7 linked regions of the Macaca fascicularis genome follow. The protein of the gene in region 6 interacts with the protein of the main gene of each other region in a pairwise test. Links are inferred from orthologs where the notes say so. Each region holds a gene or a part of one and is shown on either strand. Other genes may lie near its edges. The genes, in order: UBE2U, RAB2B, ZNF488, GPKOW, GLYCTK, GOLGA2 and ZMAT2.

Evidence for each region.
Region 1: the proteins of GOLGA2 (region 6) and UBE2U interact in binary tests that used the Homo sapiens proteins (3 or more experiments, as listed by UniProt). The two-hybrid records come from large-scale screens. The link is inferred for Macaca fascicularis from reciprocal best matches to the Homo sapiens genes GOLGA2 and UBE2U.
Region 2: the proteins of GOLGA2 (region 6) and RAB2B interact in binary tests that used the Homo sapiens proteins (3 or more experiments, as listed by UniProt). The two-hybrid records come from large-scale screens. The link is inferred for Macaca fascicularis from reciprocal best matches to the Homo sapiens genes GOLGA2 and RAB2B.
Region 3: the proteins of GOLGA2 (region 6) and ZNF488 interact in binary tests that used the Homo sapiens proteins (3 or more experiments, as listed by UniProt). The two-hybrid records come from large-scale screens. The link is inferred for Macaca fascicularis from reciprocal best matches to the Homo sapiens genes GOLGA2 and ZNF488.
Region 4: the proteins of GOLGA2 (region 6) and GPKOW interact in binary tests that used the Homo sapiens proteins (3 or more experiments, as listed by UniProt). The two-hybrid records come from large-scale screens. The link is inferred for Macaca fascicularis from reciprocal best matches to the Homo sapiens genes GOLGA2 and GPKOW.
Region 5: the proteins of GOLGA2 (region 6) and GLYCTK interact in binary tests that used the Homo sapiens proteins (3 or more experiments, as listed by UniProt). The two-hybrid records come from large-scale screens. The link is inferred for Macaca fascicularis from reciprocal best matches to the Homo sapiens genes GOLGA2 and GLYCTK.
Region 7: the proteins of GOLGA2 (region 6) and ZMAT2 interact in binary tests that used the Homo sapiens proteins (3 or more experiments, as listed by UniProt). The two-hybrid records come from large-scale screens. The link is inferred for Macaca fascicularis from reciprocal best matches to the Homo sapiens genes GOLGA2 and ZMAT2.

The regions. Positions count from the first base shown.
Region 1 is NC_088375.1:170,415,608-170,419,500, forward strand, and holds the end of UBE2U (ubiquitin-conjugating enzyme E2 U), read right to left. Parts: intron 3,479-3,893; coding exon 3,282-3,478; 3' UTR 506-3,281; downstream 1-505. UniProt on the Homo sapiens protein: Catalyzes the covalent attachment of ubiquitin to other proteins.
Region 2 is NC_088381.1:89,135,969-89,139,861, reverse strand, and holds part of RAB2B (ras-related protein Rab-2B), read left to right. Parts: intron 1-447; coding exon 448-559; intron 560-1,770; coding exon 1,771-1,839; intron 1,840-2,880; coding exon 2,881-2,988; 3' UTR 2,989-3,893. UniProt on the Homo sapiens protein: The small GTPases Rab are key regulators of intracellular membrane trafficking, from the formation of transport vesicles to their fusion with membranes. Rabs cycle between active GTP-bound and inactive GDP-bound states.
Region 3 is NC_088383.1:56,854,483-56,859,154, reverse strand, and holds the start of ZNF488 (zinc finger protein 488), read right to left. Parts: upstream 3,157-4,672; 5' UTR 3,059-3,156; intron 1-3,058. UniProt on the Homo sapiens protein: Transcriptional repressor. Plays a role in oligodendrocyte differentiation, together with OLIG2. Mediates Notch signaling-activated formation of oligodendrocyte precursors.
Region 4 is NC_088395.1:49,281,861-49,285,753, reverse strand, and holds part of GPKOW (G-patch domain and KOW motifs-containing protein), read left to right. Parts: intron 1-953; coding exon 954-1,063; intron 1,064-3,254; coding exon 3,255-3,468; intron 3,469-3,893. UniProt on the Homo sapiens protein: RNA-binding protein involved in pre-mRNA splicing. As a component of the minor spliceosome, involved in the splicing of U12-type introns in pre-mRNAs.
Region 5 is NC_088376.1:115,370,020-115,374,689, reverse strand, and holds the start of GLYCTK (glycerate kinase), read right to left. Parts: upstream 2,920-4,670; 5' UTR 2,869-2,919; exon of another isoform or gene 2,693-2,868; intron 679-2,692; exon of another isoform or gene 463-678; 5' UTR 424-462; coding exon 47-423; intron 1-46.
Region 6 is NC_088389.1:15,716,205-15,720,097, reverse strand, and holds part of GOLGA2 (golgin subfamily A member 2), read right to left. Parts: intron 3,640-3,893; coding exon 3,589-3,639; intron 3,501-3,588; coding exon 3,407-3,500; intron 3,311-3,406; coding exon 3,204-3,310; intron 381-3,203; coding exon 322-380; intron 1-321. UniProt on the Homo sapiens protein: Peripheral membrane component of the cis-Golgi stack that acts as a membrane skeleton that maintains the structure of the Golgi apparatus, and as a vesicle thether that facilitates vesicle fusion to the Golgi membrane.
Region 7 is NC_088380.1:147,179,350-147,182,017, reverse strand, and holds part of ZMAT2 (zinc finger matrin-type protein 2), read right to left. Parts: intron 2,120-2,668; coding exon 2,046-2,119; intron 1,588-2,045; coding exon 1,442-1,587; intron 1-1,441. UniProt on the Homo sapiens protein: Involved in pre-mRNA splicing as a component of the spliceosome.

The sequences.
Region 1 (3,893 bases), on a different chromosome or scaffold from region 6:
GACCAAGGTCCCTATTTTCTGGTTGACTGTCAGCCAATGGCTCCTCTCACCTCCTGCAGTTGCCAGCAATTCCTGTTAGGTGGCCTTCCCACATGACAGCTTACTTCTTCAAAGCTAGCAGGAGAATCCCTCTCTAGTTTGCTTAAGATGGAGTCTTAATACGACATAATGTAATGACAGCAGCGTCATCACATCACTTTGCTATATTCTATTGACTAGAAGACACAGGTTCTATTTACACTCAAGGATTGTGTAAGGGTTTGACTCGTTGTAGGTCATCTTAGGATGGATTTGCCACAGCAACTTTTATATTTGTAATAGTCTCACACTGAAAACAACACAAATGTCCACCAACAGGTGAATGTATAAACAAATTGTGGTATATCCATACAGTAGAACACTACTCAGCAATAAAAATGAATATGGATATACAAAAGACAAAGAAATCTCAACATAATTGTGCTGAGTGAAATCAGCCACACAGCTTGCTTTCTTGCTTTCCTGCTTTTCTTTCTTTCTTTCTTTTTCTTTCTTTCTTTCTTTCTCCTTCCTTCCTTCCTTCTTTCTCTCTCTCTCTTTCTTTCTCCTTCCTTCCTTCCTTCTTTCTTTCTTTCTCTCTCTCTTTCTTTCTTTCTTTCTTTCTTTCTTTCTTTCTTTCTTTCTTTCTTTCTTTTTTGAGATGGAATCTCACTCTGTCACCAGGCTAGACTGCAATGGCACAGTCTTGGCTCACTGCAACCTTTGCCTCCCGGATTCAAGCGATTCTCCTGCCTCAGCCTCCTGAATAGCTGGGATTACAGACAATAGCCACCACACCCGGCTAATTTTTGTATTTTTAGTAGAGACGGGGTTTCACCATGTTAGCCAGGCTGGTCTCGAACTCCTGACCTCGTAATCTGCCCGTCTTGGCCTCCCAAAGTGCTGGGATTACAGGCACAAGCCACTGCGCCCAGCCTGCATAATTTCATTTATATAAAACTAGAAATTGCACACTAATCTGCAGTGACAGAAAGCAGATCAGTGATACTGACTGATCTTATGAAAAGTAACGGCAGGAAATAGGAGCAGGAGAGACATATTACCATGAAGCAGGGGGAAACTTTTGGGGTGACAGATATGTTCCCAATGTTGATAGTAGTAGGATTACATGAAGGCATCATATATAAAAACTTACACTGTACACTTTAAATTGCTCAACTTCTTCTATGTCAATCATACCTCAATAAAGCTGTTTTTAAAAACCTAGTGCCTTCTTCCAGAATCAACTCTCTCAAGGTATTCCTACTTGTTATTAAAAGTTCCTTTTTTGTTACTTTTGAATTCACTCATTTGCTAAAATTTCCAAGTTTATTTTTTAACAGTAAACTCTAACACAGTGAAACAGGAGCTTTTGTTTGAGACATCGTGGCAGCTGTTGGAATGTAGTCTATATTATTGAGTATCGTTAGGATGGAGTCTGGTTGGTTGGCTTCTTCTTTGAAGGTTTAATGGGAGAGGCAAATGTGCAAACAGACAATTTCAATAAAATTGAACAGCAGACACATACACATACTATATGGTGCCCACAGAGTGAGAGCCAGAGAGCCAGAGAGAGACCCAGCCTGGAGTAGGGTATGTGGAGTGCAGAGAAAACTCTGGAGGTGATGCCTGAGCAGAGTTTTAGGGGCTGAATAGGCGTTAGCCAACTGAAGAGGGGAAAAGGAATTCTCGGTAGAGGAAATGGCATAAGCAAAGGCAGGGAAGCAGGAAAATGCTGTTATGTGTGGGGAAGTACAAGGAGTTCAGTAATATTAGACACAATGTTGTAGTCTGAATGTTTGTGTCCCCTCCCAAAATTCACATATTGACACCCTAACCCCCAAGGGAATGGTATTTGGAGGTATGGCCTTTGGGAAATTATTTTGTCATGAGAGTGAAGCCCTCATAAATGGAATCTGTGCTCTTATAAAAGAGGTCTAAGAGAGACTCAGAATGTTGTGGTTCTGGTCACAGGGGGATAGCAAAAGTGTAGGTACTACAATCAGTTGGGGCCCTACTGTCTGAACTACCAGAGGGAGACTTGGAAATATTTAGCCAGCCAGGAGAGTGCAAAGAGACCAGATACATGTAGTAGAGCTTTCTTTTTTTCATGGGAACTAAAATCAGTTTCCCTAAAAATGAGGGAGAGACCTATTTGATAACTACATCCAAGGTCAGACATATAGATCGGTATGGCATTTTTGAGAAGACATATGTGTGTAGGTATGTAGGCCTCAAAATAGGTCTCTCTGAAGCCACGGCAATAAACACTTCAAAATAAGAAGATGATCAATAATATCAAACATGAGTTTTGGCAGTAAGAAAATCACGGTGATCCCAGCAAATTTTAGTGAAGTAGAATGAATGGAAGATAGATTTCATTGTGCAGTGGATGCAAATGTGAAATGAATGAAAGAAATAAAGAGAGAATGATAGACCACCATCAATAAATCTGATTGAGAAAAATGAGTGAATAATGGTGAGGTAAGCAGAGATAGGGGTCAAAGGCAGAGACATATTTTAGAATAGGAGAGACCCAAGCATACGTATAGGTTGAGACAACATGGCAAAAAGAGACAGAGAAAATAAAGTTATAAGAATACAAGGAGATAGAAGGTCTAGTTTATATAAAACTAGAAATTGCACACTAATCTGCAGTGACAGAAAGCAGATCAGTGATACTGACTGATCTTATGAAAAGTAAGGGCAGGAAATAGGAGCAGGAGAGACGTATTACCATGAAGCAGGGGAAACTTTTGGGGTGACAGATATGTTCCCATGTACTCTGGGATAAAACAGAAGAGAAACATTAGTAAATAGTGACATCTCATTCCTTGAATATGGAGGAAACAAGACAAGAAAGCAGGCAGATGTAGGTCCATGTATAGATCCTGCTATTTGAGGTCATGTCCAGCCTCTGAAGCTCTTAATTGCTCCCCTCCTATCCCAGCCTCTTTCTGACCCATTCTCTGCCTGCAAAAACTTGTGTCCAGTAGCCTAAAAACTGTGGGAGTGTCACACCATTGATTGGCATATGGCAATGAACATCCCTAACTTCGGTAACTTAGTTCTAAAGAAAGTCAAAGCAACATCTTTACTGATTTGTACTTATATCTCTAATTTGTACTTGCTTGTACTTGCAGTGAGCGGGTGAGAACAGCCTGAAAAAAATGAAATCCAAGTTCTGAGAGTCTTCCAAAATTGCTCCACAACACTGGGCTATGGTGGAGGCTGTTCAGTTTTTTAACCTGATAATGTTCTGCTTAATCTTCTAAAGTATTTGTATTGAGAGTGTTGATCCAGGAGATTAGATCTTCCACTTCCTCTTCCCAGGGCTCATCTGTGTTATTTTCATATAATGAAGTGTCACTCTTCCACCCCTCCTCTTCTGTTTCGTAAATGTTTGTGACGCTATTTATTGCAGTTGGTGACTCAAGAAAAATTTCATCTGTGGTGGGAACTATAAAAAACAGAAATTTAATAGACATACAGGAAAAACAATGAAAAGAGTGTTCCTGCATGTGTAGGATAATGCCAAAGACCATCTGAATGAATGCGAGCAACCTTTTTTACACTTTCTAAACTTCATGTTTTATAAGTAACTTTATTTGTCATAAATGATTCTTTCCATCTTGCTCGATCTTTTGATGCTTTGTTAGTTCATTCATTTAACATATATATTTACTGGATCCCTGCTAACGGCCGGTTGATGTGCAAGGGAAAAGCTGCTTTGGGAGCACAGGGAGGGAATCACTATGTCTAAGTGAAAACAGACTCGGGCTTTGAAACAGGAGGAGCAGTTTGTTAGACAGAGAAGGGAGGTCAGAACATGTTAGAAGAAACAGCATGCATCATATAAGCACAAAGGTATGAGA
Region 2 (3,893 bases), on a different chromosome or scaffold from region 6:
ATTTCGAACTCCTGACCTCGTGATCCACCTGTCTTGGCATCCCAAAGAGCTGGGATTACAGGCATGAGCCACTGTGCCTGACTGAGGTTTTTTTTTTTTTTTTTTTTTTATCATCTATACTTTGCTCTCCTTGATCTCATTGGAAAAACAAGCAATAGAGCATTAAGTTTTGTGTAACTATGGGGGCTTGCCTAACCCTTGATAAGCCTTTTTCTCTGTAATAGAGTGAGTTATTATCTTCAACTATGCAGCAGCTGTCCCAAAACTAAAGAATATTTTCCAAGAGGCTACAGAAATCAGTAACTCTATATAAGAGAGTATCTTGTAGGATCTATGTTCTTTATTAAATAACTGGCCATTGAAACCACGATGGAATTCTTTTAGAAATAGAGTTTCCTCTTTCACTTGGATCTTTTTTTAGTTTTCTCCTTAATTAATCTCTTGCAGTGACCTAGAGTCCCGCAGGGATGTGAAAAGAGAAGAAGGAGAGGCCTTTGCTAGGGAGCATGGACTTATATTCATGGAAACTTCAGCCAAAACAGCCTGCAATGTTGAAGAGGTACTATTTGGAAAACAGTGGGGAAAACTCTTTAGAGATTACACCATTATTTGTCCTTTTATTCAGAATTCTCTTCTCCTATAAGAAATGGGTAAAGAAAGGATGTCTTGGCCGGGCGCAGTGGCTCACACCTGTAATCCTAGCGTTTTTGGAGGCCAAGGCAGGCGGATTGTCTGAGATCAGCAGTTTGTGACCAGCCTGGGCAATATGGTGAAACCCCATCTCTACTAAAATACAAAAAATTAGCCGGTCATGGCAGCATGTGTCTGTAGTCCCAGTTACTCGGGAGGCTGAGGCAGGAGAATTGCTTGAACCCAGGAGGCGGAGGTTGTAGTGAACCGAGATCCTGCCACTGCATTCCAGCCTGGGCAACAGAGCAAGACTCCATCTCCAAAAAAAAAAAAGGGAAAGGATGTCTTGTGGTCATAGTGACTACTTCTCTCATTCCTTTTAAAAGAATTGTCCCATTTTCTTTTACCCTGATTCCCAAGGTTTTACTTTTGCTTTGGGTAATATTAGTTGGCAAGTGTGAATTAGACACCACACTTGTTACTAGTAAATCACTCTGGTTGGAGTGTCTAATGGATTCTACTGTAGTCATTCCTAAGCCTAGTGTTGATGGTATCTTCAGTAAGTAGTGGAGAATAGAGTGTGTTTGTTTTATTTGTAGAAGATGCCAGCCTAGGAACATTTTGGGTCAGTACCAGAATACCACATAATCCTTTTTTTTTTTTTTAACTACTCTTAATGGCTTTTACAAGGACATTTGGGGGACCTTCTGTGTTTTGTTTTGTTTTGTTGAGACTGAGTCTCGTTCTGTCGCCCAGGCTGGAGTGCAGTGGCACGATCTCAGCTCACTGCAACCTGGGCTCCCAGGTTTAAGCGATTTTCATGCCTCAGCTGCCCGAGTAACTGGAATTACAGGCATGCATCACCACGCCTGGCTGATTTTTGTATTTTTAGTAGAGACGGGGTTTTACCATGTTGGGCAGGCTGGTCTTGAACTCCTGACCTCAAGTGACCTGCTCGCCTCGGCCTCCCAAAGTGCTGGGATTACAGGCATGAGCCACTGCGCCCAGCCGACCATCTATGTTTTTTTACTGTTTTCTAATTCACCTTAGAAATTCAAATATGTATAATAATTAATATTCTCTTTCCCTCATTTCTCTACTTGAACTTGAGACTGATGATATGATTTATGTCTCTTTCAGGCCTTCATTAACACAGCCAAAGAAATATATAGGAAGATCCAACAGGGTTTATTTGATGTCCACAATGAGGTAAGAAAGGGTAGAAGTGCTGGCAGTTAACTTTGGTTTGTTCTGAATAGAACTGGAGGTTCCCTAGAATGGAATGCTTACATTCCCCATCTATCATTATATAATTTAAAAGCTCTGCCAATTCAACTTTTTTTTTTTTTTTAAATCTAGGTACACAGAGACCTGTCATCATTTTCTGTTTTCCTCAAGTCTGACACCCAGAATGCTTAAAGAGATTATTGGTGATCTAAAAGACTTATACAATATGGGAGATTTTCTTGTCAACCTCAGTTTTTTACTATTCTAGAACATAAGGGAGGTATAATTCATAGTGGCTTAGGAGAGTAATTTCTATAAAGCAAATTCTGGAACAAAACAAAAAGAATCATATGCTACTTCTGCTCTTTGCCTCCTCCACTCTTACCTAATCACAACCTAATTCTGCACATAGCTATGACATTTAAGTATAATATGGTCCCCTAAAAATGAGCACAGGGGCCACGTGTGGTGGCTCATGCTTATAATCCCAGCACTTTGAGAGGCTGAGCTGGGGAGATTGCTTGATGCCAGGACTTCAAGACCCACCTGGGCAACAAAGAGAGACCCCGTCTCTAAAATGAGCACGGGGTGCAGTGGTGCACCCGTAGTCTGAGTGACTTGGGAGGCTGAGGCAGGATCACTTGAGGCCAGAAGTTTGAGGCTGTAGTGCACGCTGGTCATACCTGTGAATAGCCACTGCACTACAGCCTGGGCAATGTAGGGAGACCTCATTTCCTCAAGGAAAAAAAAAGTACACAAAAGCCACTTGTAGTCAACTAGAATATTTAGACCATAGGTAGTCATCTTATTCTTACTGTCATAGATTATTGTTGCACATCAGTCTGGCTAGGGCACCTGGTTACCTGCCAAGGTCAAATCTGCTTTTAGAAAATATAATTAATGATTCCTCCTTTCTCCCCTTTCTTTTTTCTTTCTACCTGGGATACAAGCAGAGATAGCCCCCTCCTCTCTCTAATTCACTTTAACACTGAGGTGGGAACTATTGCCTCTTTTCTTTTACAGGCAAATGGCATCAAGATTGGGCCCCAACAGTCAATTTCAACATCAGTGGGACCCAGTGCCTCCCAGCGGAACTCTCGTGACGTAGGGTCCAACTCTGGCTGCTGCTGAACATCTGGCTTGAACTTTTTTTTTCCTTCCTGGAATAGCTTCAGATCAACAGGCTTAATGAAAGAGGTCTTTCTTGCTTTGGCTGAGAGCAGCCTCTTTTTAAAGTGTGATGTTTTGCCCTTCCACCTAAAGACCAGGAGAGAATTTGGGCCCTTACTGACCTGTCCTCCTTCAAGGACATGAGCATTCCGTATAGATTAGGGTTCTTCTTATCCTCCTATACTAATTTCTTAAATCGTTAGGATCAAAGTTGATTATCACAGTAGTTAAAAATAATAATTTCACGGTGGGGCGCCGTGGCTTATGCCTATAATCCCAGCACTTTGGAAGGCCAACTCTGGGGGATCACCTGAGGTCAAGAATTCGAGACCATCCTGACCAACATGGAGAAACCCCGTCTCAACTAAAAATACAAAATTAGCTGGGTGTGGTGGTGCATACCTGTAATCCCAGGTCTCGGGAGGCCAAGGCAGGAGAATCACTTGAACCCAGGAGGCGGAGGTTGCGCTAAGCTGAAATTGTGCCATTGCACTCCAGCCTGGGCAACAAGAGCGAAACTCTGTCTCGATAAATAAATATATATATATTTGTTTGAGACGGAGTCTTGCTCTGTCTCCAGGCTGGAATGCACTGGCACAATCTTGGCTCACTGCAGCCTCCACGTCCCGGGTTCAAGCAATTCTTCTGCCTCAACCTCCTGAGTAGCTGGGACTACAGGTGCGTGCCACCACGCCCAGCTCATTTTTGTATTTTTAGTATAGGCGGGGTTTCACCATGTTGGCCAGGATGGTCTTGATCTCTTCACCTCATGATCTGCCCACCTTGGCCTCCCAAAGTGCTGGATTACAGGCGTAAGCCACTGTGCCTGGCCTAAATAAATAATTTCATAAGCATATACAATCTGC
Region 3 (4,672 bases), on a different chromosome or scaffold from region 6:
CTCAAGTTGTTCTGAGCTGCAGGTCAGGCACCAGATCTTGTTCAGAGACACCATGTACCCCCAACTCCCCCATGCAGTGCTTTGCTGCATCTGCCTTTCTCTTCAGCTAAAACACACAACAGCAGAAAATGCCTCCTGTCTTCCATCCTTCGGTGTCCCTAGTCTCTGGAGAAGCTCCAGACCCTTTTGGAAGATTCCAGAGGACAATCATCTATGGGTCTTTTCTGCATTTGGATTGTGAGGTCCTGGGGTTTCCTAAGAAAGGGAATACACCTGTTTCCAGGAATTCTCCTGGCTCTGGCGCACTGAAGAAATTAAACACGGAAGGTGATCCAGGCTTTCCCAGAGGCTGACTGGTGGCACTGGGGAGATGAGCAATTCCTGGTCAGCCCCTACAAGCTCTGTGGCCAGCTATGCCTGGACCCCTCTAGCAGCAATGCCTGCTGCATTCCAGGAAAGCTAAGTGCAGGAGACTGCGGACACAGCCAGTACCCATGGAAGCAGGGAGAGTGGCCCTAGTGCAACATAACTTGGCCATGTGGACCCTCATAGGGGTGGATGCAATCTCATCACCCACTCAGATACCTGAGACTGTGCAGAAGCAGGGCCAGTGAAAGCAGAGGGCAAATCCAGTGCTTCAATGGGGCCCTGCTGTGCAGATGGAGAGTCTACCATGGATATGACTGAGGATGGCCAGGACACAGAACAGGGAGCAGTGTTCTGCCAAACAATGCCAATAGGCAATGGCTGGTGCTGTGTGGAGTGATATTTTAGATGTTACATGTGCTAGGGCTGCAGCAACATGGAAGTCACATAACGGGACTGAATTAGCCCTGGTCACTCAGGCTCCAGGGCACAACTTGTGTTCCAAATCAGCCCTGCTACTACCTGCCTGACCTCAGACAAATACTCTGGGTCTCCATCTCTTCATAAGTAAAACAAGAACAGTGATCTTCACTTCAGGCACTCACGGACGGGACTCAACAGGGCTCTGTACATGCCAGGCAGCAAGAGCACAAGGAACAGCAGCTCTTTTCCTAATACAACTAGAGAATAAAGGTGGAGCCTGAGACGGTGGTCCCAATTCCACTGGCAGCCTTCTGGAAAAAGTCCATGATTTTACCTCAGCTACTCCTTTTGACATTCCCAGGTTCCAACAATAGCATCATCTAAGGATAAAAAGACAATGATGTTCTTACAGAGACACTGACCACTAATGAGGAACGATCAGTTTAAAAATATTGAAATTCATCCTTTTTTAAAAAAAAAATTGGTGTGATTACATGTTTCAAACAAAAGTTGCCACTTCTTGGATACCCGAAAAGAAATCTGCCAAGCAAAGCAGACATGATGATTCTAAATCATTTGCAAAGTCTTTTACCCCTCCCCCGAGAATCCTCACATATTGGGGATCAGGGATTAGATATAAAAGGCAATTTAACTTTTTAAACCAGAAAAGAGCCTCACAAATCACAGTTCCACGCACATACCTATGAATTTGTCCAAAATATCTAGCACATGCAAATTCTTTCACTGAACACACTGCAATGTACCTTCATCATACTTAATTTCTGTTTAATTCTGTGTAATTTATCTATGGCCAAATTTCCATTTCTGTATCAATCAAAAGTAAATGAGTTGAATTTTCATTAAAGGTCATAATAAACTACAATATCATGTTAAATTATTTCCAAGAAGCAAAAGCTTCAAGCTTTATTGGTAATTAAGATCTTTACAAACAAACAAAGGCTCTTTTATAACTTAGTGCATATATATTATGTATTTGTGTGTGTTTGAACATATAAATATTATGTGTCATAAATATCATTAAAAATTAAATCACATATCTCTGATAAGATTACATTTTAACCAAGAAACAAAAAATTGCCTCGATATAGTTCTATTTTATCCCTCAAAAATGAATGAGGCTTGATTTTCTAGAGTTCGTCCTTTATACATCTATGACAATCTTTGACACTAACAGGAAATATTTTCCCCTTGGCCCTCCTATTTAATGTACATAAAATCATTAATTTCAAATGCCATAATTACTGCCATAAAATGCCTAACGTCTCCCTCAGGAGTAATTAAGTAAGTTCATTTCTGTACATCAGTGGCATTGGCAACTACATATTTTAGAAATTTACTGTTAATTTCTTATTTCCAGGGGCCCTCAGATGTTTCAGGTGCAAAGCTCTGGCCTCCCACTGTCTTCCCACAACCCTGCTCTGAATCCTGTCCCCTCCCTCCCCTGCACCTGGCATTGCATAACCTGCCCAGAAGGCAGGTGTGGGTGGGAACTTCCCTTAAATGCTTCTGCACGGCTTAGCTTCCTGCTGTGCTGTCTGTGTCTATTAGTAAAGGCAAAATGTCAAGGAAAGGATTCAATCAACCCCTTGCCTCTAAAACCAGGTATGTTCTTTCAGCTCATTCTAAAAACTCAGTATAATGTGATCATTTAGCATTGTTTTGTTTCCCAGGAAAGACAGTGAACAGGTTACACGTCCAGATCTTTGGATATAATCTGTTGGAGAAGGGATCTGGGGCTGATGCATGGTTCTTACCCTACTGCCCAGCGCAAGCCTGGGCTGAGAATAACAGAGCAATACACGATAAACCCCGGGAGGGGCAGAGGGAGGGACGAAAACAACTGCAGCCTGAAAGTCACCCTAGGAGGAAAAAAAAAATCATAGGCAGAATTCTTGGGTGCTGAAAAAACAGCGGGGAGAGGGGGAAGGTGAGGGAGAAGGATAAAGAAAGAGAGGAAAAGAGGGAGAGGGAGAGAGACTGACACGGAAGGAAATGAAAACAGGAAGACAATAAAGAAGAGATAGAGGAGAAAAAGTGAGAGAGGAGAAAGGGAACAGAAACGGGGATGAGAGTCGGAGACGACATGAGAGAGCTAGAGGAAGCTGGCGACATTGGGAAGGAAAGGACCCCACAGTCAAAGGCAGGACTCAACAACCCTGTCCTGGGGAAAGGCAGTGGAAGTGAGATGGACCCGGCCGCCCGCGCCCGCTCGCGGCTCTGTCCCTGCAGACAGGAGGGCGCGCCTCACCTGGGCTCTCTGGAGATGTGGAGCAAAAGGTGCTGGGGCAGCACAGCCTCCTCCCGGCCAAGAGCACAGCGCGTGGCTCTGAACTTGGCGCTGGAGCCCTGAGGGTGGCCAGGTCCCGCCCCAAACCCGCTCCCGCCTTCAGGGCGTGGCCTCGGCTTCGCCCATCCCCAGGGAAGCTCCAGCCTTCGGGGCGGGGCTTGTGGGTGGGCGACCCCGGCGGGGGAGGGCGCTGCTGGCCAAAGAACCCCCAACCCCGCGAGAAAACCCCCTTCTGATCCTCTGGGCTGCCCGGCCCTAACCCGGCTCAGCTCCCAGCTGGCTGGTCAGGGTCTGGAGCCAGCGCCTGCAGGAGGGCGAGGGCGTCCTTTGGAGGCGGCGCCTGCTCCCGCCGACCCCCTCTGGTCCTGGGCGCCAGACCTCGCGCTCCTGGGCCCGCGGGGCCTCGGCGAGGCGGACGGGGGCTGCGCGCGGCGCCTGCGGCTCCAGTCTGCGCCGAGGACCCCCGCGGCCTCCAGGCCCTCCTTCCCCGCGCAGCCTGGCGGCCCCTCGAGCGGCACCTCCCCCCGCCGAAATCGCCCAGCTCTCCCCGCCAACCCCCGGGAGCGCCCGCAGCCTCTGCTCCCCAGACCCCAGCTGTGACCACGCAGCGCTCTGCCAGGAAGGCGGGCTCCGCGACTCGGGCCGTGGTGGAAAATGACAGTTCAAGTGCGTTAAAATTAAGAACTTATACTTTGATTAAAAAAACAACAAACGGAGTGAAAAAGCAAGCCACACACTGAAAGAAGATACTTGCAGCAATTGATAAAAGATTAGTATCCAGGATATGTACTTTTAATGAAGGAGAGGAACACCCAAAGCAAAGAATGGATACAGACATGAATAGGCACTTCGGAGGAACCATTAGCGACCAAAATCATGTGAACGAAGGAAGTCTCTAGAGTAATTAGAAAATGCAAATTAAAACCACAAGGAGATGTTTAATCATTAGGTATAAGTGTTAAAATATAACAATAACAAGTGTCACGGAAGGCATGAAGCAAGAGAACCCTAATATGCCCCCAGCATATAGTAACACCCATATTAGTACAGCATAGAAGTACACCCAATTTCATTGATTATAAAACAACACTAATTTAAGATATTCTATTATACTAAATACAACTCCAAAAGAGGGGGGAAAAACTGACAACCAACCAACTCAATGCTTTTCATCACTTGTAATTTTTAACATATAAAGAAAGATATATTTTAGACTGTATTAATCCATTCTCACACTGCTATAAAGAACTGCCTGAGACTGGGTAATTTATAAAGGAAAGAGGTTTAATTGATTCACAGTTCAGCATGGCTGGGGAGGCCTCGAGAAACTTACAATTGTGGTGGAAAGGGAAGCAAAACAGGTCCTTCTTCACAGAGTGGCAAGAAGGAGAAGAATGAGTGAAGTGCAGAGTGAAGGGGGTAAAAGCCCCTCACAAACTCATTCGATTGCCTGAGAACTCACTTATACTATCATGAGAACAGCACAGGGCAACCACCCTCATGATTTGATCACCTCCCACTAAGTCCCTCCCCCTACATATGAGTATTACAATTAGGACTACAATTCAAGATGAG
Region 4 (3,893 bases), on a different chromosome or scaffold from region 6:
CTACTCAGGAGGCTGAGGCAGGAGAATCGCTTGAAACCAGGAGACTGATGTAGCAGTGAGCTGAGATTGTGCAACTGCACTCCAGCCTGGGCAACAGAGCAAGACTTCATCTCAAGGAAAAAAAAAAAAAAAAAAAGAAAACCTTGGAGTCATCCTCAATTCCCCTCTTTATTTCATGCCCCATACACTCTGCCAGCACAATCCTTCATCTTTTTTCAAAATGACACCCAGAACTGACCACTTCTCACCGCCACCAGTATCTCTCATCTGGACTATTAGAGTAATTTCCTCACTGGTCCCTCTTATGGCTCCCACCTGGCTCAGGGTCCTCTGACTCCTGCCCAGCTCTCCTGATTTGATCTCTTCCCCACCCTTCTCTGCTCTCTACTCTCACTATCTCCATTTCAGTCATGGTGACTTTTACCCCTCACACATACCAAGCCTTGTCCAGCCTCAGGGCCTTTGCTGTAACTGTGCTTTCAGCTCGGGACACTTTCTTCTCATATCCTCATGGCTCCCTCTGCTATCATTTCCTGATCTCTGCTTAAATGTCAACCCAGAGGCACTCCCTCTCCATCCCTCTGCATCTTCTTACCCTGCTTTCTTGTTCTTTACGTCACCACCTGACATATCATGTTTTCTGGGTTTTATTTATAGTATGTCTCCACAACTAGATCAGAAGCTCTGCAAGGGTAGGGGTTTTTGTCTGTTTGGTTCACAGCTTCATCCCCAGTACCTAGAACAGTACTTGCCATAGACTAGGTGCTTTCTATTTGTTGAAGGACTGAACATGGAGGAGTACAGTGAGGGATGGAAAGAGGAAATCAAAACACCCTTGAGCTGATTGGAAAAGATGCGTAGCAGGTCTCCCAGTGGGTGGCAGCAAGTGCACTTCAAACAGAGGACCCAGTGTAAGCAAAGCCTGACCCTCCTTCCTCTACCTGAACCTGTAGGTGCCAGAGGAGGCTAATTATGAGGCGGTCCCCGTGGAGGCCTATGGGCTGGCCATGCTGCGGGGCATGGGCTGGAAACCTGGCGAGGGCATCGGCCGCACCTTCAATCAGTGAGTTCTGGGATAGGGGCGAGGGGACAGACAGATCAGGCTGCAATCAAGATCCCCAGGGTCACTGCCAAACCAGAACCACTCCAGGCAGGGAGGGAGGATACATTATCGCCCTAACTAATTCAGTAGCCCCTTCCACTACTGTTTTAAACTCCCATTTGCCCTTTGAAACTCTAATAGAATCCCATTTATATAAAGTCTGCCTCTAGGGACATCAATTTCTTCATCTGAAAAATGGGGGTAATAGTACTGACTTCACAGGTCTGTTGTGAGAGTTAAATGAAATTATACACATAGGCCAGGTAGTGGCTCATGCCTGTAATCCCAGCATTTTGGGAGACTGAGGCAGGAGGATCACTTAACCCCAGGAGTTTGAGACTGGCCTGGGCAACATAGGGAGGCCCCATCTCTACAAAAGATTAATTCATTTTAAGAAAAGAAATTAGGCCGGGCGCGGTGGATCAAGCCTGTAATCCCAGCACTTTGGGAGGCCGACAAGGGCGGATCACGAGGTCAGGAGATTGAGACCATCCTGGCTAACAGGGTGAAACCCCGTCTCTACTAAAAAATACAAAAAACTAGCCGGGCAAGGTGGCGGGCGCCTGTAGTCCCAGCTACTCCGGAGGCTGAGGCAGGAGAATGGCGTAAACCCGGGAGGCGGAGCTTGCAGTGAGCTGAGATCCGGCCACTGCTCTCCAGCCTGGGCTACAGAGCGAGACTCCATCTCAAAAAAAAAAAAAAAGAAATTAGAGCCAGGCGCAGTGCCTCGTGCCTGTAATCCCAGCACTTTGGGAGGCTGAGGCGGGTGGATCACAAGGTCTGGAGATCAAGACCATCCTGGCTAACACGGTGAAAGCCCATCTCTACTAAAAAAAAAATACAAAAAATTAGCCGGGCATGGTGGCGGGCGCCTGTAGTCCCAGCTACTCAGGAGGCTGAGGCAGGAGAATGGCGTGAACCCAGGAGGTGGAGCTTGTAGTGAACCGAAATCGCACCACTGCACTCCAGCCTGGGCGACAGAGTGACACGCCATCTCAAAAAAAAAAAAACAAAAAAGATAAAGAAACTATATACGTAAAGCACATACAGTAGGCCCTGACCCCAAGAAAGCGTAGACTAAACATTTGCTATTGTCATGCAGACTTACAACCCTTTCTTCGCAATTGCAAACTCAAGAATTGTGAAAACCAAACATTTTTTTCATAACCCATTGGCAGCCAACTATGACCTGAATTGGCGTTGAGTTTTTTTTTTTTTTTTTTTTTTGAGATGGAGTCTCTGTCTGTCACCCAGGCTGGGATGCAGTGGTGCAGTCTCAGCTCGCTGCAACCTCTACCTCCTGAGTTCAAGTGATTCTCCTGCCTCAGCCTCCTGAGTAGCTGAGATTACAGGAATGCACCAGCACGCCTGGTTAATTTTTGTATGTTTAGAAGAGATGAGGTTTCCCCATGTTGGCCAGGCTGGTCTTGAACTCCTGACCTTAGGTGATCTGCCAACCTCAGTCTCCCAAAGTGCTGGGATTACAGGCATGAGCCACCGTGCCCAACCATGTTGAGTTTTTATAGTCCGTTTCTCCTGCTTGGTGTGAATATTCATATGATTTCCCCTGTAGAAATAGTATATTTGGTTACAGTGATCTGCCTCTGATCTCACTGTAGATATTATGTAATAGATGGTATATGCAGCATGTTATTAGGTCGAACCAAATGAAATTGCTGTTTCTGTAGGTCAAAAACAGTCCTAATATGAGATCGGAAAGGGCAACCTTGAAAATATCGATGGGGGCCAGACACGGTGACTCACACCTGTAATCCTAGCACTATGGGAGGCCAAAGAGGGCGGATCAGCTGAGGTCAGGAGTTCGAGACCAGCCTGACCAACATGGTGAAACCCTGTCTCTACTAAAAATACAAAATTAGCCAGGCATGGTGGCATGCTCCTGTAACCCCAGCAACTTGGGAGGCTGAGGCAGGAGAGTCGCTTGAACCCAGGAGGCGGAGGTTGCATTGAGCTGAGATTGAGCCATTGTACTCCACCCTGGATGGCAAGAGCAAAACTCCGTCTCCAAAAAAAAAAAAGAAAAGAAAAGAAAATGTCAATGGTGGGGGTGGGGGTTTGGGCAGGGAGAGGAGGTAAATAAGGTGTTGAAGACTATTGCATCCTCTCCAACAAACCCATGTTCTCCCTGCAGAGTAGTGAAGCCCCGTGTCAACTCACTGAGGCCCAAGGGGTTAGGGCTGGGTGCCAACCTGTCTGAGGCCCAGGCCTTGACCCCCACCGGCCCCTCCCACATGCCAAGGCCAGATGAGGAGCAAGAGAAGGATAAGGAAGATCAGCCTCAAGGGCTGGTGCCAGGAGGAGCTGTGGTGGTTCTTTCTGGCCCTCACCGAGGCCTCTATGGGAAGGTAAGGAACCAAGATATCCCGGGAGCCCAAAACAGGCAGTAGGGAAGGTTGATCCGAGGGTCAGATGGAGGAATAATTGGGTTTGAGGTAGAAAGGCTGGGAGTCCTAGTCTTTTAGGTCTGCTTGGCCCACTGCCTCACTCAGTAACCCGGGACCACTTGCTGGCCTTTGTGAGCCTCAGTTCCCAGCTAAAAGGAAGAGAGTGGCATATGCCACAAGTCCCTGAGGATTAAATGCTTAAAGGATCCAAGGAAGCCCCACAGTCAGTTGAGGGAGACACAGGAACCAGACCTAGTCCCACTTCTTAGGGGTCAGAGTCTGGTTGGGGAGACAGAGGAAGCAGGCCTCTTAGAGGTAAGGGATTGACATCTTGGTCCTAGGAATGTGGGTGGAGTCCACAACCCCTACCTGACTTCTTCCCCTCA
Region 5 (4,670 bases), on a different chromosome or scaffold from region 6:
TTCCCTCCAGATAGACAGCAGGAGGCAGCCCCCCATGGCTCCTTACTGCTTGCCGGCGCGCTCCATGGCAGCACGGATCCCCTTGGGAATGCTGATCACGCCCTGCACAAGATGCTGGCCCAGTAGTTCCTCAGCGGCAGCTGCCATGCCCATCACAGCCTTGCCAAAGCCCACCAGGTAGACGTTTTGCTTCAGCTGAAAGCTCCGGTCCCGCACCTTCAGCTGTCTGCCACTAGGGTCCAAGGATAGTGCCCGGTGCAGCATGGGGCCCGGCAGCACTGCACCCACAGCACTCTCAAACAGCTGCCAGGCCTGCTCTGCCAAGGCCATGCTGCTGGCCAGCCGGGCCACTGAGCCCCGCCAGAGGAGTGGATGCAAGGGGGCTCGGGCCAAGCGGGGCAGGACCTGCAGGGCTGCAGCCATGCCCCACTGCTCTCAGCACTGCCTGGCACCCATGGCTGCCTAGAGGGAAAAAGCACAACTGAGGCCCTTGCAAGGCAAAAGACAGGAGGTCCCCCACGGCCAGTGGACCCCACAGCTGCTGCTACAAGAAGGAGCCATCTGATAGCCCCAGGAGACTTCCTGAAGCCCACAGCTGCAGGATCTCACTCATCCTTGGATACCAGCCCTGCCACCCAGCCATGTCCTCCTCTTCTGCAGACCACATGCCGGCCCTCTGGATACTCTGCCTTAAGTCCAAAGTTCCTATTAGCTGGGCCCTCCTCCTAGGTCATCCCTTTGGCTGTGAGTTAATCATTGACAGAGGGAGTAATTTCTACCAGTGGGCTCCCATCCCACCCCTTTTCCACCCCCTGCACTTCTGAGCTCTTACCCAGGGGCAACGCCCCTTTCTGGCACTCCTTCCTTGCCTCTTTACTACCTCTGCTGCCAGGAGTCTGTTGATTGTCCCACCAACTGACCCCGAGCCCACTGACCTCCAGCCTACTCTACTTTATCTCATAAGACTGGGATTAGGAGGCTGGGAAGTCAGGGTCTATAGGAGGCTGCAGGTTTATCAGGTCAAGCCCAGAGCATATCCTCAGGGCAAGCAATCTGAGGAATCCCACTATTCAGGCCAGTTCAGCAAGAGGTTTAGTTTCAAATCAGGAGTGAGGGCAAAGTCTGGCTCATGGTGGAACCTTAGGAAAGTCCCCAGGCACCATGTGAGGCCATGTGCCGTGAAGCCCAATTGCAGGACAGAAAAGGATGCCCTTCTACCCACATAGCTGGCCAGACCCAACCCTGCCAAGAACACCCCTTCTAGTTCCAAGATAACAAAAACAAGTCCTAGATCACACCACCCACAGTGGTGAGAGCCCAAGAGCTGAAGTAGGCAAAGGCCAGGCTCCCATAACTGAGCCCAGATAGCCATTTTCCCCACTGGGCAGAGTAAAAGCTAAAGAAGCCTTGGGGTGAAGGTCAGGAAGCTGTAGAGGTGTATAAGAACAACAAAGACCCAAAGAGCTCATCTGTACTACATATGTACTATTGCATCTACTTTAATAAATGCCTACCATAAATGCTGCAAGCTGACTTCATCAGCAAGTATGGACTGAGCGGGGTAAGGAGGCTGGGAATTGAGCTTCCAGCTGTATCTACTACAGGTTTTCTGAGTGGCTGGGACACATCCATTTCTCTCACTGGGCCTCATCCACAAAATGAGACACAAGGTGAGATTAACACTACACTCTCCCCTTAACACCCTCAGGCTCTCTGATACTGTCCACTGCAACACAGATCTCAAATACCGGTTTATCCCACACCCAAATGTGGTGGTTACTTCTAGACTCTGACCATTTTGTCTGCCTAGTCTCAGCTCTCCCGTAAGAGAAGACAGCCATGCTTGACTTCTGTTGTGAAACGGAACACAGAGGGCATCGTCATGGGGATTCCGAAAATGGGTCCAGTTATGGCCAGGGGGACCCCTGGAGCTTGCCCATTAGGCTTGGAGCTAAAAGCATCTTAGCAACTAAGACAGCCGGTCTTTATAGCCTGGGTGAAATCTGTATTTATTTCCCAGATGGACAAGAGCCTAGAAGATCCCAGTCTTGCCACTGGGTATGAGCAGAGGACGGGGGACGCTCAATGCCAAGGCTGCCAGAGAAAATACAGGACGTCCTGTTAAATTTGAATTTCAGAAAAACAAGTAATTTTTAAAGTATAAATATGTGCATACAATGTTTAGGACTTAACAATTATTCATCGTTTATCTTAACTCAAATTTAACTGGACACGGCCGGGCGCAGTGGCTCAGGCCTGTAATCCCAGCACTCTGGAAGGCTGAGGCGGGCGCATCACCTAAGGTGTGGAATTACAGACCAGCCTGACCAGCATGGTAAAACCCCGTCTCTACTAAAAATACAAAAATTAGCCAGGTGTGGTGGGCGCCTGTAATCCAGCTACTCAGGAGACTGAGGCACGCGAATCATTTGAACCGGGGAGGCGGAGGTTGCAGTGAGCCGAGATCGCGCCACTGCATTCCAGCCTGGGTGACAGAGTGAGACTCTGTCTCAAAAAAAAAAAATTAACTGGACTCTCTGCATTTTTATTTGCTAAGTCCTCCAATTCTATACAAGACATGGTCTCTCCGAAACTCCGGAGGGATCCAAAGCAAAACACGGAAACAGGAAGACTACCGGCCTTGACTCCTCCCCGCTATTAAAGGGGGCTGGCACCATTTCCGGTTTTCCGCAGTCAGCAGGGGGCTGGAAGTGACGTCATCCTCAGGTAGGGCCTTCGCGAGGCAAACCGCTGCCGCGTAATGCCCGGTGATACGAGAAAGAAGGGCCTGCTGCCACCAAGACCCTTCGTCGCCCAGCCCAGGGATTGCTTCTGAAGGTCATGCGCGCCCTGCAGGCGCAGACTTACCAGCCCACAGCTCCGGGCCACGGCGCCCAGCACTGGAGACCGGAAGTACTCGCGGGTGGGCGGAGCGGAATCCGGAAGTGTGGGTGGGTGGATCGGCGCTGGCGGCTGCGAGCTCTAGCTGAAGCTGGGGTCTGGAAGGGAGAGTTTAGGATATTGACTCCTTGCTGGCCACCAACAGACCTGGAAGGAGTCACCTTAAGTCCTCATTTTCTTAATCTCTACATTGAGGGTAATAATCCCCGCCTCACTGATTGCAGATTTTTTTTTCGAGACGGGGGTCTCACTCTGTCGCCCAGACTGGAGTGCAGAGGCGCGGTCTCGGCCCAGTGCAACCTCCGCCTCCCGGATTCAAGCGATTCTCATGCCTCAGCCTCCTGAATAGCTGGGATTACAGGCATGTGCCACCACGCCGGGCTAATTTTTGTATTTTTTAGTAGAGACCAGCTTTCGCCATGTTGGCCTCTCTGGTCTCGAACGCCTAACCTCAATCGATCCACCCACCTCAGCCTCCCAAAGTGATGGGATTACACACTTGAGCCGCCGCGCCTGGCCTCTCCCTTCCTTTATCTTGTACGATCAGTCAGCAGATACACCCTGAGGACTGGGCTGAGCAAACGAACTGAGAATCACTACTTACCCACAACTAACCCCTTCTGGAGCCAGATTAAGTAATTCTCGCTCCTCTCCATGGTTTTTATTCCACAACTTATTAGTGTTCTCCCCTCTCCCACCATGGGCCACCAAATACAGCTCTGACCTAGCAAGAGTTCCATTCCGCTATCCTCAAGCACATAAGCTGCATGTAAAAGCGAATGACTCTGGACCTTCCTCACTGTCCCTGCTCTCATGCTGGGCCCACCCTGAGCTGGCTGGATGCCTTCCCACATTCATAAGATGAGTCCTCATCAGACTCCAAGAACACAAAACAGTTCACTGTTTTTACTGATGTTTTCTTATGGAGATAGAGGAGAGAGTTGCATCACAAATCACATACTTGATTTCCTAACGATTTTATTGAAACATGTTTCTTGGCAGGGCCCAGTGTTTCACGCCTGTAATACCAACACTTGGGGGGGCCAAGGTGGGCGGATCGCTTGAGCCTAGAAATCCGAGACCAGCCTGAGAACATGGCAAAACTCTTATCTCTCCAAAAAAAAAAAAAAAGAGCCGGGTGTGGTGGCATGCTCTTGTAGTCCCAGCTACTCAGGAGGCTGAGGTGGGAGGATCTCCTGAGCATGGCAGGTAGAGGCTACAGTGAACCTTGATCATGCCACTGCACTCCAGCCTGGTCCCATGTCTCAAAAAAAACCAACCAACCAACAAAAACACATTTCTTTCTCCTATTTTTGAGGTGGTGTCTTGCTCTGTCACCCAGGCTGGAGTGCAATGGCACAATCTTGGCTCACTGTCACTATACTCCAGCCTGGGCACAATCTCGGCTCACTGCAACCTCCGTCTCCCAGATTCAAGCGATTCTCCTGCCTCAGCCTCCCAAATAGCTGGGACTACAGGCACCCACCACCACGCCCAGCTAATTTTTGTATTTTCAGTAGAGATGGGGTTTCACCATGTTGGCCAGGCTGGTCTCGAACTCCTGACCTTGTGATCCACCCACCTTGGCCTCCCAAAGTGCTAGGATTACAGGTGTATAAACAATTACAGGCGCCCGGCCAATATAAACAATCTTCACCTTTCCCCACGCTGGGGAACACTAATTGCCACTGCTTGGTGTCTGTGTTTCCCTGATGGCTGCCCTCACACTTTATGCTTGAATAAATTCTTTTAACTGGATCTCGAACCTT
Region 6 (3,893 bases):
AGAGGCAGTAGAGAAAGGAATGAACAAAGAACAGAAAGGACTGCTTTGGTGATCCACCCTCTACCCTCGCCCCACAACCACAGAACTGTGGCACTGGAAGGAACCCCAGGAATCAAAAGTCACATGTACAGGCCAGAGATAAGACATGAGTTACCCAAGGCTACACCATGAGTCAGTGGCGCAGCTGGCACTAGAGCTTTGCTGGGCACACATGCAAACCTGTATGACCACCTCACCATGCTTACCTGTACCCCCCACCTCCCAGCACACCACCCATGCTAAGGGCCCCCAGACCTCCCATCCCACCATCCCCCGTCCTACGTGTTCTTGTATAACTCCAGCCTGAGGGCATCTCTCTCTTTGGTTAACTCCTTGTTGTACTGTAAACACAGAAAGGTTAAGTCAGGATATAGCAGGCAGAGGAGCAGCTGGCCGACCAGTAACAATAGCTACAGTAACTACTCCACAGTAACACTTCTTCACTCTCAATCACGCTTGACATGTTTTCAAGGCATTTCCAAGCCCACGGTCTCATTTTGTTGTTGTTGTTGTTGTTTTTGAGACAGAGTCTCGCTCTGTCACCCAGGCTGAAGTGCAGTGGTGAGATCTCAGCTCACAACCTCCGCCTCCCAGGTCCAAGTGACTCTCCTGCCTCAGCCTCCTGAGTAGTTGGGACTACAGGCACACGCCACCATGTCCGGCTAATTTGTTTTTGTTTTTGTTTTTCTGAGACGGAGTCTCACTCTGTCACCCAGGCTGGAGTGCAGTGGCGCCATCTCTGCTCAATGCAAGCTCTGCCTCCCAGGTTCACGCCATTCTCCTGCCTCAGCCTCCTAAGTAGCTGGGACTACAGGTGCCTGCCACCATACCTGGCTAATTTTTTTGTATTTTTAGTAGAGACGGGGTTTCACCATGTTAGCCAGGATGGTCTCGATCTCCTGACCTTGTGATCCACCCATCTCAGCCTCCCAAAGTACTGGGATAACAGGCGTGAGCTACCACGCCCAGCCTAATTTTTGTATTTTTAGTAGAGATGGGGTTTCACCATGTTGGCCCGGCTGGTCTTGAACTCCTGACCTCAAGTGATCCACCCGCCTCAACCTTCTAAAGTGTTGGAATTACAGGTGTGAGCCACCGTGCCCAGCTGGTCTCATTTGTTTTTAAAAGAACTTGGTAAGGGTGGCCGGGCGCGGTGGCTCACACCTGTAATCCCAGCATTTTGGGAGGCCAAGGTGGGTGGATCACGAGGTCAGAAGATCGAGACCATCCTGGCTAACACGGTGAAACCCCATCTCTACTTAAAAAAAAAAATACAAAAAGTTAGCCGGGCGTGGTGGCGGGTGCCTGTAATCCCAGCTACTTGGGAGGCTGAGGCAGGAGAATGGAGTGAACCCGGGAGACAGAGCTTGCAGTAAGCCAAGATGGCACCACTGCACTCCAGCCTGGGTGACAGAGTGAGACTCCGTCTCAAAAAAAAAAAAAAAAAAAGGCCGGGCGCAGTGGCTCACGCCTGTAATCCCAGCACTTTGGGAGGCCAAGACTGGCGGATCACGAGGTCAGGAGATCGAGACCATCCTGGCTAACACGGTGAAACCCCGTCTCTACCAAAAAAATATCAAAAACTAGCCGAGTGTGGTGGCAGGCGCCTGTAGTCCCAGCTACTTGGGAGGCTGAGGCAGGAGAATGGCCTAAATCCGGGAGGCGGAGCTTGCAGCGAGCTGAGATCCGGCCACTGCACTCCAGCCTGGGCAACAGAGCGAGACTCCGTCTCCAAAAAAAAAAAAATACAGAGCTTGGTAAGAGTGAAAGGGACAGGAAAAGACAGTGAATTTATGTATGTATGTATATATGTATTTATTTGAGATGGAGTCTCCCTCTGTCACCCAGGCTGAAATGCAATGGTGCCATCTTGGCTCACTGCAACCTCTGCCTCCCGGGGTCATGTGATTCTCCTACCTCAGGCTCCTGAGTACCTAGGATTACAGGCATGCACCACCACACCTGGCTAATTTTTGTATATTTATTTATTTATTTAGAAACGGAGTCTCCCTCTGTCACCCAGGCTGGAGGGCAGTGGTGTGATCTCGGCTCACTGCAACTTCCGCCCCCGGGTTCAAGCAATTCTCCTACCTCAGCCTCCCAAGTAGCTGGGATTACAGGCACCTGCCACCACACCTGGCTAATTTTTTGTATTTTTAGTAGAGACAGGGTTTTGCCATGTTGGTCAGGCTGGTCTCAAACCCCTGACCTCAGTTGACCTGCCCACCTCGGCCTCCCAAAGTGCTGGGATTACAGCTATAAGCCACCACACCTGGCCAAGATCGAATTTACAGCTGGCTAACAGAGGCCCAGAGAGATCAGATAATATTGCTATTGTTATTATCATTATTACTACCACTGTTTGAACCTTTATTGAGTGTTTCACCAGGCACCATGCTAATAATCCCATTTAATCCTCATAATCACCACATGAGACAGCTCACTGCAATATTATTACCTCTATTTTGTAGATGAAAAATATGTAGTATTAGAGGTTAAGTGTTTGCCTAAGATCACTTAGACAGAGCTGGGATTTGAATAGCCAGGTATATCTGACTCTCTAAGTTCATTTGTTCCCTGGGGGTGGGGGCACAGATAGGAAGAGGGAAATTAATCTTTTGTTCAATTTTTGAAAGGATCATACATTCGCATAGTCCAAAACTCTGAAGGTACAGAAGGGAAATATCTTCCAGCCATGCTGCTCCTCTCTCCTGAGTTTTTTATGAATCCTTGCAGACATGTTTTATGTATATTGTCACAGTACATATGTACAGACACACGGACACACACACAGACACACACACACACGTTCCCTCTCTCTACACAAATGGTAACATACTAAAGATACTCTTCTGTACCTTCACAGAACAAATACCACATTCCCCAACCTAGGACTTGGCCAAGGCCACAGCCAGGTAAGGGCAGGGCGGGCACTTGGCCTCTGAGCTCTGTGTCCAGTGTTCACTCCTCACAGTGCCCCCCCACCCACCCACAGCAGCTGACTCAGCCCCAGGATGCCTCTAACAACCACACACAAAAGCAGTGACAAATGGCCCATGCTGCCTTCTGGGCAGGACACTCAACCCTGCAGAAGAGACCTTTAGGCTCACTCCTCCACCTGGGAAGCCAGGCTGCCAGGGTTCGGGGCAGGCAGTTGGACTCACCCTGTCTGCTTTCTTCTGCTGCGTGGAGACAGCAGAGAGAGCCCGCTCCAACTCTCCCACACGCCTCCGGGAATACTGCAGGCGACTGGCCAGATCTTCGGACTCTCCTGGAATGAGAGAGGTTGAGATGGGGTCCAAAGGACTCACCCTAAAGGCCTGTCAAAGTGCCAGGTTGAAGGATGATGGGGTGCCCAGATTCCCACCTTCTTTCTGCCTGGCAGCATGCTGAGTGTGAGCCAGGGCTGTCTGTAACTCAGCTTTCTCTGATACGAGGATCCCTATGGTCTGAATGTGAACCTTTGGGAGGAAACCCAAGCAAGTGCTGAAAAAGAAGGAAAGAAACATTCTCCAGAGGACAGGGCGGAACTTCACCCCCTCCACTCACCTGTAACTGCTCCCTTAGGGCTCCCTGCTTTTGGTGGCATTCTTTCTTTTCCTACAGGAAGAGGAAGACAGAGCTCTTACTAGGGGGAGGCAGAGATGGCACAGCAAGGGACATGCCCCCAGAATGCCACCAATGCCCCAGGACCGGCCCACCCATGGGACCAGGTTATCAGGGACCCTGTGGGGATGGGGTGGAATCTTGGGGGGTGAGCCTTCTTCCCCAGGCTGGGAGCGGGTGAGACGAGACTGAGGCCTCTACATTTGAGTGCCCCCCAAACCCAGCTGTCATGTTGTGAGCAAACAAAG
Region 7 (2,668 bases), on a different chromosome or scaffold from region 6:
ATGTTGCTGGGGCTGGTCTTGAACTCCTGGTCTCAAGTGATCCATCCACCTTGGCCTCCCAAAGTGTTGGGATTACACGCGTGAGCCACTGCGTCTGGCCCCATGTCATTTCTAGTTCCTGACAGGGTTATGACAGCAAAACCATATAATAGCAACTGACATTCTGGGGCATGCAGTACATGCCAGAAATTGCTCTGAGTACTTCATGCATATTATACTAAGATCTCTAATATGGGGATACTGAGGCACAAAGAGGTTATATAACTTGCCCAAGATTCACAGCCAGTAAGTGGAAGAAACAGAATTCTGACCCAGTCAGCCTGATTTCATGGGCCTCCTTAGGACTAGGTACATTTAGTTAATTCCTCTTGTAGTTAAAAAAAAAAAGTATGGAGGAAGCTATGCATGTTGTGGGGGACAGTGGGTATATGGGAAATCTTTATACCTCCCTCTCGATTTTGTTGCAAACCCAAACTGCTCTAAAGAAAGTTAAGTCTTTTTTTTTTTTTTTTTTTTTTTTTTTTTGAGACGGAGTCTCGCTCTGTAGCCCAGGCTAGAGTGCAGTGGCCAGATCTCAGCTCACTGCAAGCTCCACCTCCCGGGTTCACGCCATTCTCCGGCCTCAGCCTCCCGAGTAGCTGGGACCACAGGCGCCCGCCACCTCGCCCGGCTAGTTTTTTTTTTTTGTATTTCTTAGTAGAGACGGGGTTTCACCGTGTTAGCCAGGATGGTCTCGATCTCCTGACCTCGTGATCCACCCGTCTCGGCCTCCCAAAGTGCTGGGATTACAGGCTTGAGCCACCGCACCCGGCCAAAAAAAAAGTTAAGTCTTTTTAAAAAATTAAATCAAAGAATACAGATGAGAGTCCTCAACTTACGATGCTCTGACAAGATTTTTCAGTTTTACAATGGTGCAAAACTGACATGCATTTGAAACTGTACTTCAAGTATCCATATAACCATTGTTTTTCACATTCAGTACAGTATTCAATAAATTAATGAGATGAATACTTTATTATAGAATAGGTTTTGTGTTAGATAATCTGGGTCAATTGTAGGCTAATGTGTTCTGAGCACATTAAGGTAGGCTAGACTAAACTATGGTAGGTTAGGTGTATTACACATTTTTGACTTAAGATATTTTTAACTTGATGATGGGTTTATCGGTAGGTAACCCTGTCAGAAGTTGAGAAATATCTGTATCGCCAAAATAAATAAATAATAAGGCCCACAGAGTCCAGGACAAAAAAGTCGTTTCAGAGCCATTTCCTTCAGATCATGAGAATCCTAAACAAAGGCAACAAATGTTTCCGCTAATATACAGAACTCAGGAGATACAACTCTGGGGCTGGGAGTAGGAGTGGGATGAGGACAGGGTCTCCCATGATTCATAACATAAAACTCAAATCTGGGGCAGAGGGGAAGACTAGGAGAGGCTTACCTCTTCTCTGAGCTCCTTCATCCTTTCCTCAAAATCATAATCCTTCTGTTTCTCTTCCATCTTCTTCTTGTTGACCTCAAAACGTTTCTTCACCTGATCCAGGGTGGAACGTTCCACACGCATAGACATGCCCAGGTTTCTCTGATCTGGATGGGGTCAACAGTGAAGAAGGCAAGCTCATTAAAACATCCTCAGCCCCTCAAAAAGTATTTTCCTGACTTCTCTGACATCTTCTCATATGACATCTCATAAAACACACAGCACAAATAATTACGGTTAAAAGAAACTCCCTTGGTCAGCTGGGCCCAGGAGCAGCACATGGTTTGGGTGCTGTTAAAAGTCTCATGGCCTCCAGAATAAGGCCTCTTACCCATTGCCTCCAGAAATATTACATAATGAAGTAAAAGATGGCCTGTGCTGAAACAACTGGAGAGTTCTAATAGGGGCATCAAAAAAGAGCCCAATAGAAACTACCTTTCTTACTCCAGCCTTCTTTTGATCAGTAAAAAGAAGAGGAAGAAAAAAAAAAAAACCTACCCTTCCATTCCACCCCACCTCCAAAACCCAATTCCAGCCCTAGTCACAAGCTACCTCCAAGCCTTACGTTTCTTTCCATTAATGTGATCCAGAAAGTTGATGGAGTCCTTCACCACACAGTCACAGACATTGCAGTAATATCTAACAGGAAGAAACAGCACTTGAGTCAAATATGGTTTTAAGGATCTTATCATTTTCAACCAAGAAACACAAATTTTTAGGTAAACTTCTTTTTAGAAGTGTTAAGCCTTCATTTCTATAAAGCCTTGGCTCTCGAGAGAGTATAGCAGTCATCCTCAAAGACAGCCTCAGGATGAGCCCCACCCTCTTGGTATTCCTACTCTGTGTAGTCTCTTCCCAATTTGTACTAGAGTTGGTCTGTGTGGCCAACAGAATATGTCAAAAGTAATATCTTCCAAAATTAGGTTATTTTAAAAACCATGCCTTCTGTCTTTGTTTGGGTTACTTGCTCCGGGGAAGCCAGTTGCTCTATTGTGAGCAGTCTTATAGAAAGGTCTATGGGGCAAAGAACTTAGGCTTCCAAACAACAGGCATGTGAGAGAGCTTGGAAGCAGATCCTCCAGCCCCACTTAAGATTCAAATGAATGCAGACCTACCTTGCCAACTCCTTGATTGCAGCTTCATGAAGAGACCCTGAGCCAGAACCACCTAGGTAAGCCACTCCCACAT